Linked DNA regions of Rhinolophus ferrumequinum. The protein of the gene in region 1 interacts with the protein of each later gene in a pairwise test. Links are inferred from orthologs where the notes say so. Each region holds a gene or a part of one and is shown in the gene's direction. Other genes may lie near its edges.

What was found. The genes of interacting proteins can lie anywhere in the genome.
Region 2: the proteins of MID1 (region 1) and UBTD1 interact in binary tests that used the Homo sapiens proteins (3 or more experiments, as listed by UniProt). The two-hybrid records come from large-scale screens. The link is inferred for Rhinolophus ferrumequinum from reciprocal best matches to the Homo sapiens genes MID1 and UBTD1.

What each region holds. Positions count from the first base shown.
Region 1 is NC_046284.1:118,835,065-118,842,785, forward strand, and holds the start of MID1 (E3 ubiquitin-protein ligase Midline-1), read left to right. Parts: upstream 1-4,646; 5' UTR 4,647-4,749; intron 4,750-7,721. UniProt on the Homo sapiens protein: Has E3 ubiquitin ligase activity towards IGBP1, promoting its monoubiquitination, which results in deprotection of the catalytic subunit of protein phosphatase PP2A, and its subsequent degradation by polyubiquitination.
Region 2 is NC_046299.1:26,307,565-26,315,406, reverse strand, and holds the start of UBTD1 (ubiquitin domain-containing protein 1), read left to right. Parts: upstream 1-4,707; 5' UTR 4,708-5,050; coding exon 5,051-5,120; intron 5,121-7,842. UniProt on the Homo sapiens protein: May be involved in the regulation of cellular senescence through a positive feedback loop with TP53. Is a TP53 downstream target gene that increases the stability of TP53 protein by promoting the ubiquitination and degradation of MDM2.

The sequences.
Region 1 (7,721 bases):
TGGCTTCCTGGTTTTGTAAATGAATGCCCATTCATTTACATATTATCTGTGACTGTTTTAGATCACCCCGGCAGGCAGAGTAGAGTAGTTGCAACGAAGAGGCTTATGGCTGGCAAAGTCAAAAATATTTACTACTGACCCTTTGCAGAAAAAGTTTGCTGACTTCTGACCTAGGGTACTTAGTCCTTTGGAAATGTCTGCTTTTGTTTCTGAATTTGCTCTGATATCTTATTTCTTTTAATGTGGATCCCCAATGAAGCAGTACCCTAAGAATGTCTATTTTCCAGGGCTTACATGGTTAATACCACCATACCAAAGGCTTTACAAGTAAAAGTGCTAAACTGCCAGTATTTATTTAACTTACAGACTAATATTAGCTCAATATAGTTTTTCTATAGCGTATTTTGTAGCCCTTTCATTCCAATTCTCTATTTATCACTATTGAACACAAGCTTCCTTCTTAACGTCATTTTTTCCCCTACTTTTCAAGGTCATTTTGAATTATAATACAATCCTCTGTGGTGTTAGCTATCCAATTTGGCACCATCTGCAAATTAAATCAACTTGTCTTTTATATCATCACTCAAGTAACTGATGGAAATATTATGAAGAGCCTGCCTCAGGACATCCTTCTAAAATGTCACTGTTTCCCTCAAGGTTCAGCCGGAACCACTAATAATGTTTCAGTCCACCTTTAAGCTCCCACTCTTATAGAAATTGCATCTAGTCAGTAATTTTCAAACTTAAACTGCCAGTCCTTATGCCAGAAGTGGTACTGAATCTGCCAAATGGTTTGCCATATCTGTCATGTCTTCATTTGTCATGTATTCTAGTAGTCTCTCTTTCTTTGAAGTTAAGCTGGGGCCAGAGAACACTATGGCCAATGAAAGGTGAGCGGAAGTTTAAGTGTCTCTTATGGAGTGAAGTTTTGAAAGGCAGTAATGATTCACCAAGTCCCTGTTTCCTGTCTCAGCGACGACGGTGGAAGTATGCGCCGAAAGGAACCTTCATCAGCCTGGGTTCCTGAGCGGCTATGAATAGGAGACTCCTCCCCGTTGATCTCTGTAAACATGTAGCATGAGTGAGAAACACACCTTTGTTGTTATAAGCTACTGAGATCTGGGGGTTGCTTGTTACCAGAGCATTACTTCACCCATCCTGTCTGATACAGCTATTGAGCACCATAACATTTTTCTAGAAAGCTCTTTTCAAGCTAGGGACCATTCTTTTCTGTGTATCTTTTTCTGTATGTATCCTTCATAGACCTTTATCCATAATAGCCACCAATTAAATGTTTATTGCATAGAAGTGAATTGGTAATAGATTAGTAGATAGATAACTGACTACAATATTTAAGGATTCTTATGTTTTTCATCACTTTTGCATATAAAGAATTAATAATAAAAATAACTCCATGAACATCCACCTTCCTGAGTATCTTCAGGATGCTCTTCCATTGAACATGCTGGTCCTCCTCAATTGTTCGATAAAAGGATATTGTCATGATATGACAGATGTATCGCTGTTTACCATTTCCTGGTATTTATCTGGCTCAGCCCAGGTCCACCAAGTCTAATGATGGTAAGCCGGCCTCTGGCCAGTAGAGTAACCTGTGCTAACTACAGTGAGAGTATCAGCTTGGAAATCTGTCAATTAATATTTCTACATTGATGTGGAACTTCAATTAAACATTCTTGTGTTGTGAGAAATTTGGGGAAACATTACATTTTCACATTCCATCATAAATATGTGCACAGTCTTTCCTGTAAGGTCGTTAGCTTTATGGGGTGGGGGAAGGACATGCATAACTTGCTCCTGGTTGTGTGCCTGCATCATTAAAAGCATCAATAAGTATACACAGAATGATATTTTTTTAAAATCTCAGAATCTTTCAGTAATCTGTGAGATGTATAGCCATTTGATTTTCACCTTGGGGGTGAGGCTCAGAAATGTTAAGTAACTTACCCAAGGTCACGTAACCATGAGATGGAACCAAAATGGAAGCACATTCTGACCCTAAGGCATTTTCTCTTTCTTGGATAGTGTAGTATACCCAGGATGCAGTAGAAATAGCAAGGATTCTGGAGTCTGGTGGACCGAGATTTGAATTATAGCTCAACTACTCATTAGTTATATGTCATTGGGAATTTCTAAAATCTGCCCTCTGATGTTTTCTTTAAACCACAATGAGATTTTTCTCCCCTTCAAATAGGTCTTGTATTTTATTTAGTTTCCCATAAGTCCTATTTTTTGGCATAGTGTAATTATTCAGCTGTAAGTACTCTCTCATTGGGGTTCTCTATGGTTAGTTTGAATTCATACTGCTTCAGTGACCCAGCCTTTCCCAAACCATTTCTTGAGGCATCCAAAATGGATTTAGCAGAGGGTTGTAGTCCCTCTTTGAAATATGCTACTTTGAGATCCAATTTTCATTTTGACCTTTCAATTCAATAATTATTGCCCAAGATATTTTGTGTTTAAAACCTAAATGATTGTTTGCTTAAAATTGTAAGAAAAAATTTGAAGGCCAGCTTAAGGCACTTAAAGGTTTAGCCTGCCTTGGAAAAAAAATGCATTCTTCGTCTTGCATCAACATGTTAATAAAGTCTAAAGTTCCTGCATAAACAGAACTTGCTTCAGTGGGAATTATGAGAACATAAAGGGTGCAGGATCATAAATAGACTATATTAGTGAAAGCCATTTACCTGGCATGGCACACAGTTTTATTTAAGATTAATGAAAACCCAATAAGTAGAAAACACTGATATTCCTTCCAGTGGGGGAGTCAAGATGAGTCTTAACTTGATACAATAGAAATGTGTGTACTGTGAACAGAAAGATGTGTGCAATATTTGCAAAGTTATATTTTCATAATATTTTATAACCCAAATTCATATTCAATAAAAATATACTTCCTATCTCATTTTATGACCTTTCTGGAGTTACTTAAAGGCAGTCATTTTAGCAGTAAATTATGACTTTATAAAGAGTGTTTTAATCAGTTTGTATATTGCATTTAAACTCTCTGGATACATGATTATTAAAAATTATATTTGAACATGGAAAACTGCCATGTTAATGGACTGCTGCCTCGTCAGGGTGACTCTAGTTTTGGAAATTCCACTGCAGTTAAATTCTAGAAGATCTGCTAATCTTGGCTTTTCTACAAATTGATCATGAGACTTTGGACCAATCACTTTATCTCTGCAAGTCAATTTTGTTATCATGGAAAGGAAACAATAACACACACTGCATCGTGCTCCTGTGGCGATATAAAGAGAAATTGTATGCGAAAATCCTTGCCCATTTGTAAAGTGCTATTCAAAGATTAATTACCCTTCCTGACAGTGTGATTTGTGCACTTTACTGCTCTTAACAGAAACTCTCTATGATTTGTTTGTATCCGTGCTGGCTTAGGCAGTATGTAAACATTCATTGTCTCTCCTTTCCCGAGCAGAGACCTAAACCATGGCACTGAGCTATTTTTACTAAGATTGTCACTACTCAAGGAGCAGTCGACCAGTGGATGAAATGGGGACAAAGGATTCACTTTAAGACGGGTTTTGTTCAGCAGGCAGTCTTCACCCCCACCGCTCAGGTATTAGAAAGTCTTGAGTCTCTACTTTATAGTAAGACTTTCGTGGAATTGGTTAGAATTAAAAAGAACTATTACTTTACTCAGCGGTAGATAAATGTAGGGAAAAGAGCCAATTACTGGACAATTGATTTAAGTTACATACTTACATTTAAAAGCTGTGTTTTGAACCTAGAGTTAGGCCTTCCCCAGAATTCTTTTTAAAATGTGTTTTCTTATCTTCGTAAGTCCAGGAAGTTGTTTTAAAATTTTTACATATAATTATGCAAATTCAGCAGTCTTAGATTTCTTTCCTGAAACCATCAAATAACACTTCACTATATGGGCTCAGGAGGGTTATTACAGGGAATAAATAGATGCCATTATGTGTCATTTTGCCCATCAAAGAATGCAGTAGCAATTACTACATTATAAAGGGAGTAGACTCAAAATGATCACATTGCATTATCTACTAAAGGCCTGGGAAAGTTGAATAACTATTACTTACTATGCTCAAATAAAGCATTTGAGCCTTATTGATAGAGGTTTGTTCACATTCTCTTCCTGTCACATGTTCTATTCACTTCTTTGAAAATAATTTCAAGATAAGTTACCCTGGTTTTAAAAACATAAAAGACAAATGATAATATCCTATACTTTGGTTTTTCTCCCTACAATGCCTCCAGATAATGTAAGGTTGGTCACAGCTCATGATATAAAATACTAGCTGTTGACTCACAGTTACACTAGAAGGGCCAATTTTACAGACTGCCAGGATAAAGATGATTTTAATTAAATCGCACAAATCCCTTTGTACTGCAACCAAACCCTACACTGGCTGACTGACTCTGAGCCAGTCTGGCTTGTGTAGAGTTAACCAGGTTACAGGATTCCTAGTTAAGTTCTTTCACCAGGAATGCAATTCATGTTTACCTATATAAGGAAACCTGTTCGGCTGACCTGAGTTTGGCGGATTTTTGCGCTGACTGGGAGGCGTGTAAGCACACAGCCTGAGAGGGGGAGTGATTCGGAGCTGGACAGAGCAAGCTTCCTGAACGCTCCAGCCATCCAGCTGATCCCAGGCAGCCTGCTTGGAGGACCTACAGGTTTGCCTCTTCCAGATCCAGATCACAGCTGAGGAACAAAACCCCGTCCTGGGAAAAATGGGGAAGCCGGTGAGTCTTACCGATCTCTTTCTGCTTGCTTCTGCTAAGTGGCAGCCTCACTGCTCACACCCAGGAGGCAGAGGGAGAGGCTTAGCTCAGCCTCTCACCCCACAGCTCCTTCCTGAGCAAACACAATGCTTCGCAGATACTTCCAGACAACTTTCCTGCCTGTTTTGTACACCCAAAGTCCACAGAGGCAAGGATTTTAGCACTTTACACATTCCAGAGGCTGTTTTTACTAGCGAAGAGTTTCTAGACCATCACGATGAGCAAACTTTCTCATGTTTGTTGCACTCTAAAACCCTGGAAATGAGCCTTGGGGTGCTTTGCGAGAAGGCTGAGTCCCCGAGGAAGTAATAGTAAATCTAAGTGGGGTTCTTACAACCACAGGCAGTGTGATATTCTGCAGAAGTGCAATTTGTCACGAAAAAGGCAGTCTGAAGGTATCATTTTTCATTCATGCAGCAGCAAAATCTTTGCATCCTGCACATGGAATAAAGGACAACTTCTGAGACACTGAGGAAAGAAAGAAGCCAAGCTGGGCTCTTTGTTCTAGACAATGTAAAGACGCTCGGGCTTGCATTTTGACAAGTCGCGCATGTCTATTTATACATAAGGCGAGAACGATGAATAAAGGCTGTATGTCAAAGGCGCTGCGGTCGATTGAGTTAAAGTTTGGCTATATCCTATATGTATACAAAGATCTCAATCTGAATGTAATTAAACATGGACATGTGCAAGGGTTTCACAGACCTGCAGGGGCATTTTCGTTCTAGTTGGGACAATTGAGAAAGAAGGCAAAACTATCCCAACTGAGTTTTGGGGCACAGGTAAAACTTTTGAAGAAAGTCGATTTCTTTCTATATATATAGCAGAGCTGTCAAAAGTGATTTGGAATCAGGTACATTTTTATTTTTTTTTCATTTTTATTTTTTCATGCCAAAGTGGTTTCTTCATTGAGTTAGCTTGGATAAATGTTTTGAAAATTTGACTGCTCATGTGTCAAAGAAAGATTGTCATTTTCTGCCCAACACAGGGACTTCGTCCTAGAAGTTTAGGAAGCAGCATTGTGCTACTGACTGCAGCCAGTGGCACGAGCACCCGATTTTGAATTTCTCCTATTAAGAAATTAATTTCTTAAGTTAATTTCAAGAAAAGTACTCAGCGCAAACAAGCAGATTTGAGAGAATGGCCCCTTTTTTAAAAAAAAATTGCAAGTCATAGTCCAATCCCTAGTGAGGCTACTGATTGAATAGAGGGAACGGCAAGTGCTTCTTCATAAAAACAAAAGCTACGGCCAGTTTTATTCGGGGCCCTTGACTTGAAAAACCTTAACTCTTCATAGTGACACAGTTTAAATGAAACCTGCTCACCTCTATGAGATTGAAACCTAGAAAAGCAGTGTGTGTGATACAGTAGACGTTTTAGGAAATAAAATTCTTCATAGCACAAGCAGCAGAACTGCAGAGACTATTGCAAATGTTTTAAAGCTTGTTAGCTCCTAGGTGCTGCTCAGAAAAACAGGAGTCTTGATATTGTGTTGCTTTCAGTGGGAATCAGTAACCCAGGAGACACAAAACACTATTTTAAAATATACGGTTAATAACAGATGTTTCTACCGGGTTGTCTCACCCTGCCGATGAGATGGCCTCAAGCCAAATCAACCAGCACGTCCGCCGTTTTTCCTGTGAGTTGATATGTACACAGTTATTATATACTAATTACATCAACAGCCAAGGGACTATATAACCAGAAAGATAGATAAGTCTCCTGGGGTGGGGAAGGCCGAGGCTAAGCATAGGGTTTTTGAATCTCATGTTTAGAGTTCTCCTTGCCAGGGGCATATGAATTATTGTACATGACTGGGAGTCCCAGCTCCAGAATCCACTTATCCTCGGTTCCTCATCGGCTCATTTGGGGGCAATAATGGTGATTATTGTATTTAACACTTTGGCGTTCATAGCATTCCAGGAGGATTTCTTCTTGATGATTAAAGTTATTTCAGGGTCCGAGCTAATCTGCAATGAAAGATACTTAGGACATGGTGGTGTTGCATTAAGCCTTTTGAGTCACTGGTGCTGTGTGCTCCGGTGGAGGGTTAACCATTCCGCAGCTGCTTAGACCTGTGAGATGGTGAAAGAGTGTCCTGGTTAAAGGAGATTGGAAAGTAGGGGGGGAGGGCGGGGGAGAAGGGGAGAACAACAAAGAAACACCAGTCTTCTCGGAGCCTTAATATGTTCATCTGCTAATATGTGTTGTGATTCCCCACCAAAGTGTAGCATGTGAAGAATGGTTTGCTGCAAACTCACCTGACAGCCAGTCATCCTGAGGAAAATTCTTGAAGACAAAGCCTCCCAATGGGTGGGCCACAGAGCACTGGTCGATGATGAGTGGGTTACAGACATACCCAGAGGTTGAGTCCTCTTGGCATCTGGGCCATCAGACTCTGCTTGGGCTGGCGGTATCCCCCAGAAGGTGATCTCTGGACCACACAGCTTCCTCAGTTTGCCCCACTATATCGTATAGATAGGATCAACTTCTCTATCTGTCAGGATGCGTGAAAGCTAGCACACTGTGACCATCCAGGCCCAGAGTGTAGATCGTGCAAGTCAAAATTCTGCTACGCTGGGGGTCACTGTGAAGAAAAATATACTAATATTTATTGTCTTTCATGCTATGGTGGGATGTCAAGGCCCTCTATATGTCATCCAGTTTGCCCTTTTTATTTAAAGAGGGGTGTGTGTTGTCCTGTTCTTAAAGATCTGAAAAGCTAATAGTGAAGTGTTTTTTTATAAGATCCTTTCTAATATTTAGTTATCGTTTATACTTCCCTTTCTCAAACTGCTATCAGGGTGTGTTTGTCTGGGATTCTCCCACCACCAGTGTGGCCTCGTCCAGAGGCAATGACATAAAAGAACCTGCTTTCCAAAGTTATTTATTAAGTGTAAATTCTTTCCTTGGACACTGTACCAAATTTGTAT
Region 2 (7,842 bases), on another chromosome or scaffold:
CCCCTCTAGCTCACCTTTCCTCATGACTCCTATCATTCAGTCACATGAAATTGCAACATGTTCAGTCCATATCCTGAATCTTGTAAACATTCCCTTGGTTTGGAATGCCTCTTTTCTGCCCTTCTCAATCTGAGGAACTTCAACGCTTCAAGACTCAGCTCAAATGTCAACTCTTGGGAAACCTTACTTGATTCCCAAAACAGAATTAATCTCTTCTGTGTTTCCTCCATAATTCTTTTAAAAAATTGTCATGCGCATTTGTTTTCATTTGACATTTACTGAACACCTAATATAAATCAGGTACTGTGTTAGAGGCTGGAGATAGAAATATAGACAGGAAGTTTTTAAGGAGCCCACAGTCTATTGGGGCAGAAAGACATCTAACACAATCAGTGTAAGAAGTTCAGTGTTACCATAGTGATATAAACAGACTGGGTTAACATAAGAAAGGAGTAAAATTCCTGGGTTTATGGACCATCTCTCACCAACTTTAAGTGCGTCATTCTCTTAATACTATAAATACTCCCAAATGAAAAATACCTGAATATCTGGAGGTACTGTTAATTGCGTACTTGGACTCCTGGGATGAAAGAGCTAATAAAAACTTAATTTTCCTAAGGGGAGTATCACTGGCATGAAGGAAAAAATAAACGAAAGTTCCTTTCATTATATAGGTAGGCCTAAGCTTTTGCAAGCTGTCCAAGATTTGCTCTCTAAAAATGGACCTACTAGCACCTCCTAACTACACACAACTTCCACAGCAGGGCACCAGTTCGTGTGGGGCACTGAGGAGTCATCAAAGATGTATTTACATGAGCCTGACATAGAATGTACAATCAGACCTCTGTCTGATGGAGTTGCAGCCTCTTGAGAATCTGGAGCAGCAGCCAAAAGGGGAAGGGGGAGGATATGAGGATGCAGGAAGAAGAAAAATCCCAATCAGGACTCAGTTCCAATTAAGCTCTCCAAATGTCCTTTCTGCTGAGGGTGCTACACACATTTCTCAGAACTATATTTTACTGTCCTTTAGCAATCTTTTGGATTCAGGAACAGTGGTCTCCTCAGGGAATCACAAATGTGGGACAATATAATAAAGGCTGAAAAAAAGAAAATACAAATAACTAAGAAGATGAAAATTTATATCCATCACCTGTAATTTCAACATGTCCAAAAATCACTTCAAAATTAGTTCCTTTCCCAACCTCCATTTTTGGACAAAGTACTTCTCTTTTGCTTACCATCAGGCTCAAAAACTTGGAGTCATCCTAGAGTTCTCCCTTTCCTTCAAGCCCTATAACTAGTTAAGCCTCAAATTCCAGATTCTTCCTTTTCTCATTTCCATTCACTTATTCAGTTTTTTACTGCACATCTACTTATGCTAGTCTCTAGGAGACTCTGTTGGTAGGAATAGCAGAGTAGGATGTGGAGATACGTACAGAAATAGCTACTAAACAAGTCTGCTAATAAGTTTATGAGTGGTTGAGAAATAAATACCACACAGATTCTGAAGTGTGAGATGATGTCTGATTGAAGTAATCAAAAAACACTTGGAGGGCAGGCAGCGAGCCCTCAAACTGGGTCTTGAATCCTACATCTACCTTTGATTAGACAGAGCTAGGGAAGGAAACCATTCGGGGAATAGCAAATCAAGGTGGCTGCCTGGAACTAAAGGTCCAGGAGGGGAATAATGAGAGTAAAGGCTGGAGCTAGGTAGTGGCAGCTTTTGACTGCCAGGTCATTTCTCTTCCATCATTTGAACCTTTATATCTGATACTTTCATCAGGAACCCAGGTACAAAACAAAGTTGGTGGTAGCTGCCTCTGTGATAACAGGGTGTTCCTTCTGCATTTACAATTTGTAGGAGAGGCTACCACTGTAGTGGCTTAATAGACAGTGGTCCTTTCAGCACTAACAAAGCTTGACTTAGGATGGAGGATCCCATCTTATTCTAGGAATGCTTCAAAACCTGGTCAGCCTTCAACAACCCTAACTAGGGCTGTAATCTAAGATTGGGAATACCAATTTAATTCTTCTCAAATTTGCTTTCATTATGCGACTCCTTTGCTCAAGGATCTACAATGACTCCTATTAACTATAATAGATCATTCAAGTGCCTTTGCCTGGAATCCACGGCTATGCATAATGCAACCCCCCCCCCAAACCTTTTCAACCTTATGTTGCTACCCCTGTTACTTATCTGTTACTACCAACCTCCTTTCTTAGTCTGAAGGGTTAAATTACAACAGGGCTGGTGTTACAGTCTTAGCTGAGTTAAATTTAAATTAGACAACAGTTTAGGCCATTTTTTTCAGGTATAAAAACAAATTTTACAAGGACATTTATAAGAACTTGGCCATCCTTATTCACGTCGTCTTCTTAAGTGTGTTCTGCATTTTTCAAATGCAATTATTGTGTTCATGATATATAAATGTGAAAGAATAGTTACTAATAACACTGATATAGCCATGTTCTTTATCTTGGTAGGAGGTAGGTGTATACATTTTTCAAAATCAGTGACTATACACAGGATTTGTACAATTCATTGGATATGAATTTTACACCAAACTAAATTGTAAACAAATATACCTACCAAAGTATTTAGGGGGAAGTGTACTGACATCTGCAAATTAAACGTATGGATAGATATGTGATAAAGCAAGTTACATTAAATTGTTAATGGCAAAATCTAGGTGGTGGAGTACTCGTATGTATGTTTCTTATGAAATTCTTTAGACTTTGCTGTGTTTTAAAATGTTCATATAAAACACCAGGAAAAATGCCATTGAAAACACACTGTACTTGTTCATTATAATTGTAAGCACTAATAACACACTAAGCTTCATAAAGCTGTAAGCAGTTAAACTTAGTGGAATGGCAGCATCAGGCATTTGCTCCTTGATGCTTCATGCCACCTTGCACATACCTTTTATAGCCCTATTCATGGTGTAGTGTACTATCTGTTTGCATGGTTTTCTCTCCCACCCCACTACAGTGGCAGATACATATCTAGTCTAATTTGTATTTATGTTCCTATTGCTTTGCATCTGTTTAAAGAATAATATATATTCAATAATGGTGGAATTATTGAATAAATAATTGGATAAAAGTGTAATTGCTAAGGAGCAAAGTATTGTACTTCCTGCAGATTTACTTTATTCATTTCACATATTCTAAATAAAAATTAATATGTTAAATTTTCAAGAGAAATGCGTCCTTTACTTTTTCTCAAGACCGCAAAATTTTCAAAAATAGGCAAAACTCTTCTGTATTCATGAGATTTTGTATTCTCTTACGTAACACGAGGTCTGAAGGCCTCCTAATTATTCAATAACTTCTAATTTTTTTTCTAAAAGAGAATTCCAATGAAACCTGGAATTTGTTTCATTCAAATCTTATATAAGCTGTCAGAACTAAGAGATCCCTGAACCTGTCAAATGCAGGAAACTGGAGATCTGGGGAAAATATAAAAACAAACACCACATAAGTCATGAAGCAAATTAATCAAGAACTTTACTATTAAGAAACGGAGGGAAAGTCTTAAGGATACGTAGAACATCTCAAACTCCCCTCAGGCTGGCCTCTCTCCTCTCTCCAATTACAGCCCGTCAAAGATCAGGCCGCCCTGCCCCTCCCAACATGCCACGCGACTGGAGCCGATGCCTCTGAAGATGCTTCTTGTCCCGTTGACCTCCCAGGATCAAGTGCTTTCGCGACGTGATCACCAGATTCTGAACTGGAGGACCTGGGGCCGCGTCCCAGCTCCCCCACCTGCCTGATCTGCGAGCCTCTTGCCCTCGCTAGGCCGGATTCCCACCTGTGAAATGGTAATCACTCTCCTAACCCGTGCCGGCGCACAGGGTGGCTATAAACCAAGACGAGGGGCGTAAAGGCGTATTAAAGAAGATGCAAGTAACTGTTACGCCTCTTATGCACGCGGTACTCACAATCTGCCCGAGACCAATCTCTCAAGTCACCGCTGTCCCTCACTCCCTTCCCGCCCCACGTCTATTCTGAGGCCGCTCCCTCCCGTTGGCCCCCATGCGGAAGCCCCGCAGCGCCGTCTGCCGTACCTGCAGCCACTCGGTCAGCGGGGCCCTCCTGCTGACCCATGACGAAGTCGTGCACGAGGCCCCGCAGGGCGCCTGTGGGAGCCACCGCCTCCAGAGTGGCGGCGGCGGCCATGACGCGAACTAGAGACCGTGGGAGGGGAAGTGGGCGGTGGTACGGGACGGAACTCTCAGCGCATGCGCCTCCTGAGCCAATCGCCTGGCGGAAGCAGAAGGCGGGGCGCTCCCTGGATCACGTGCCTGCCGGCTCCAAGGCAGGCGGTTCTAGGGAGAAGTGGGATGGGTCCTCCCCCAAGGGGCGGGGCCTGGAGTGGCCATGGCGGCGCGGGGAGGGGAGGTGGCTGCTGGGCACGCAGCCGGGGGCCATTGAAGGAGAATAATTCCCGGCCCTGCTACCCGGGAGACGGGCGGCGGGGCGGGCCCCTAGTTGGGTGGGGTCGAGGGGCGGTACGCACCCTGGGGGAAGCCAATGAGAAAATCAGACCCGGCCCGAGGGGGCGGTGCCGTCGGTCACATGCGCACCTGGGGCGGGCGGTGGCGGCGGCGGCGGCGGCTGGGGCACTGCGAGCCCACGGCAAGGAGCTGGGCCGGGCTGGGGCGGGGTTAGGCAGGTGAGTGACAGACTCCGGGGGGCCGGCCCCAGCCCGGAGCCGCGAGCTAGCCGGGTGTAGCCGCGGCGGTGACCGCCCCCTCTCTCCGCCCCTCCAGCGGAGCTGGTCTTGGGCCGGGCACCGTCGCGGGCCCCCCTGGCCCGGCCACCTGGGACTGTACTAGGGAGTCGGCCACCTCCCTCTCTCCCCTCGCCGCAAAGTTTGTGGCGAAGCCGGCTTTGGGGCACAGCGCGCCCCCGGGGGCAGATCCAGCAGCGCCCGATGGCTGGCGGCAAGAGCCGTTGACCAGGGACGCCGCCGTCCGGGGCCGGAGCGCTGAGCAGCGGACCAGCCCGCCGCCTCCGGTGCATGGGGCCCGGCTGAGGAGCCAGCATGGGCAACTGCGTGGGGAGACAGCGCCGGGAGAGGCCGGCCGCCCCAGGACACCCCCGCAAGCGAGCAGGTAACGACGGGGAAGGGTACAGGGCCACGGGCGCCCCGCCAGTTGTCCCCTCCTTGCCCGAGCCTTGGGCTTCCCAGGCGACTTCCCATGGCTCCTGGCGCCGGGTTTCCCCGATGGCTTCCCCCGAGCCAGACTGGGGTCCCCTTCCCCAGCCCTGTCGCCAGGGGAGTCTAGTTGGGGCAACAGCGAGCGCTGACCCGGCTTTGAGCCCAACTCTCTCCAACTGGGAAGCTCCGGGTGGGGGTGGGGGTGGGGGCGGGGGCAGGAAATGTTTGCAAACCGCAGCGGGGCCGGCGGAGGGAAGGAGGGCCCGGGCCAGGGGCCCCACTGGCCGGGCAACCGGGCCGGGGTCCGACGCCGGCCCGTCGGGGCATGGCTCTGGCGGCCAGGCGTCCCCAGAACTCGGAGCGAGCGAGGCGAGAACAGTCGCTCTTTCCCAAGACTGTCTGTGTCATTATCGGGCTGCAGATCGTGTCTGCCGGAATCCGACTTGCAAAAGCACCGCAGGACTCTGGGAAAGAAATCTTTATTTTTCCCGCAGGGCTTTTTAGAGCCTCGCGTCCGTCTGGGAGTCTAGACAAGGTGGGGTGCGGGGTGGGAATAGCCCTCGGGTTTGTTGGGATCCTTGGGGTCCTTTCCAGCCACGGGAATGGGATTTCAACTGGTCATCCGCGAGGGCCAGGCAGCGCCTTCTCACTTTCTTGGTACACTCCTATCCTGGCTCTTCGCCCCGGGAAGAGGTCTGACGGTCGGTTCCCTGGGTCTTGTGCTCACTTCCTTCTCTGAGGTTGTTGCAGGGACCTTCTGAGAATTTTTAAAATCGTGATCTTTAGAGTTGAAAGGCACCTTCTAAACTTGTCTGGAGTCCAAATAGACCTACCTCCTCCTATCTGTGAAAATGCCCACATCCAGAGAGGTTGAGCAACTTGCCCAAACTCTTACAGCTAGTTAGTAGTACAGTTGGGGCTAGAACATAGTCTCCTCTTCCACTCAATTGCCACATATCCCTTTATGTAAGAGGAGCCACAGGCAGAGTTGTTAATGAAGTGGAAACTCTAGTTGGAGTTTCCTGTCTCCTTGGACACCGAAGGTGTGTTGGTTGATTTGCGGAAACTGGGAAAGAGGATGAGGGGAAACATGGGTGAAGCAGGGAAGGATGTCTGTGTTGTGGACAGGATGACTTGTGGAAGAAGATATGTGTTTTTGTAGAACAGGGTAAAATTTAACATTGAAATCCTCTTGGCAACCCTGGCCATTCTGACTGAGGAAAGTTGATTCTCAAACCCAAAGCCTTTCTTCCTTATTTCATTCATTTATTCAACAAATATTTATTATTTATGTGCTCAGTCCACATGATTGATTTTGTCGCATTTTTCACTGTCAGCCCTCTCCTCCTTGAAACTCTACCCCCTTCCCTTCGTGGTGTTTATTAGACTATCTTGGTTTTTTTTCTCAGCTCACTCCTATCCGCCATCACCTCCTAGGTGTGAGCACACCAGTGGTTCAATTTGACATTCCTTTTTTTTCTCTCATTACACTTCCTTCCAGAGAAATTTTAATCAGTCCCACAACTCTTTGTCCATTGGGGAGACACTTAAGCTGTATCTTCAACTATTCCTTCTCAGACTCCAGACTCGTGTCGTTGAATGCACACTGGACATTGCGATATAGTTATCCTCAGATTCAGCACTTCTAAAAACCAAGCTCTGCATCTCTCCCCCCTCAGGCAGCTTCCCTATGCTCTTCCATCCTTGCAGCTGCCTAACTTTGGACTTTGAAGACCTCTCTCTGCTGACTTTCTCTGCCTCCTGTGCTCTGCCTCCCAGCCGGTTAGTCATTGGGACCTGCTGGTGTTTCCTTCAGCAGGTGGTACAAACCTGCCCCTTCACATTCTACTTCACACGCTTGTCACCTCAAGTCCAACTCATCTCCCAGGTTGAAGTTAGTTCCCCATCAAAGGCAAAATCATCTTCAGTCATTCATCCAGTGCCTGCACACCATGGTCCCCCCAGAAGACGTTTTGTTTGTTAAATTAACCTGCTTCAAGCCCTATCGTTCTATGTTCAGAAAAAAATTTTGTACCTCCTCACTTATACAAAAACTTTAACTTTCAAGGTCGTTCAAATCTGGTCCAGTCCTTATTTTTAAGGCATGATTTCTTTCTCTTACCTGACAATAAAGGCCGCCAGTGTTTGCTCGTGCCATTTCCCCGTTTATCAAGACCCTTTCTAGCCTTCAAGGTCCATCTCAAATCTCATATCTTTCTAGAAGCACCTTGCCTGACAGTGCCACCCCCTCCCCTGTAGATCTGATTGCTTCTTCTGAGAACTCCTGCAGACACGTTATGCCACTTAACAATTATCTACTCCATATTATTAGTCATTTCTTTGATGTTTATAGTCTTACATCAGCAACTACATTGCAAGCCTTGAAGACCTGGCTTCTGTCTTATCCTTCCTTGTGTGTGTGTGCGCGCGCGCGTGCGTGCGCACGCATGCACGCCTGTCTCTCTTTTTCACTTATATAACCATGCACATGCACACTTGCACGCGTGCACACACACACACACACACACACAGCATTTAGCACAATGACTTGTACAGAGGAAGCACTCGTTATTTGTTGATTTTAGAAAGCTGACCCAACTTCATCCTACCATTTGAATTTTTCATGTAAACATTTTCCTGAAGTATATATCTGCATTTTTTTTTTTACCTGCTAG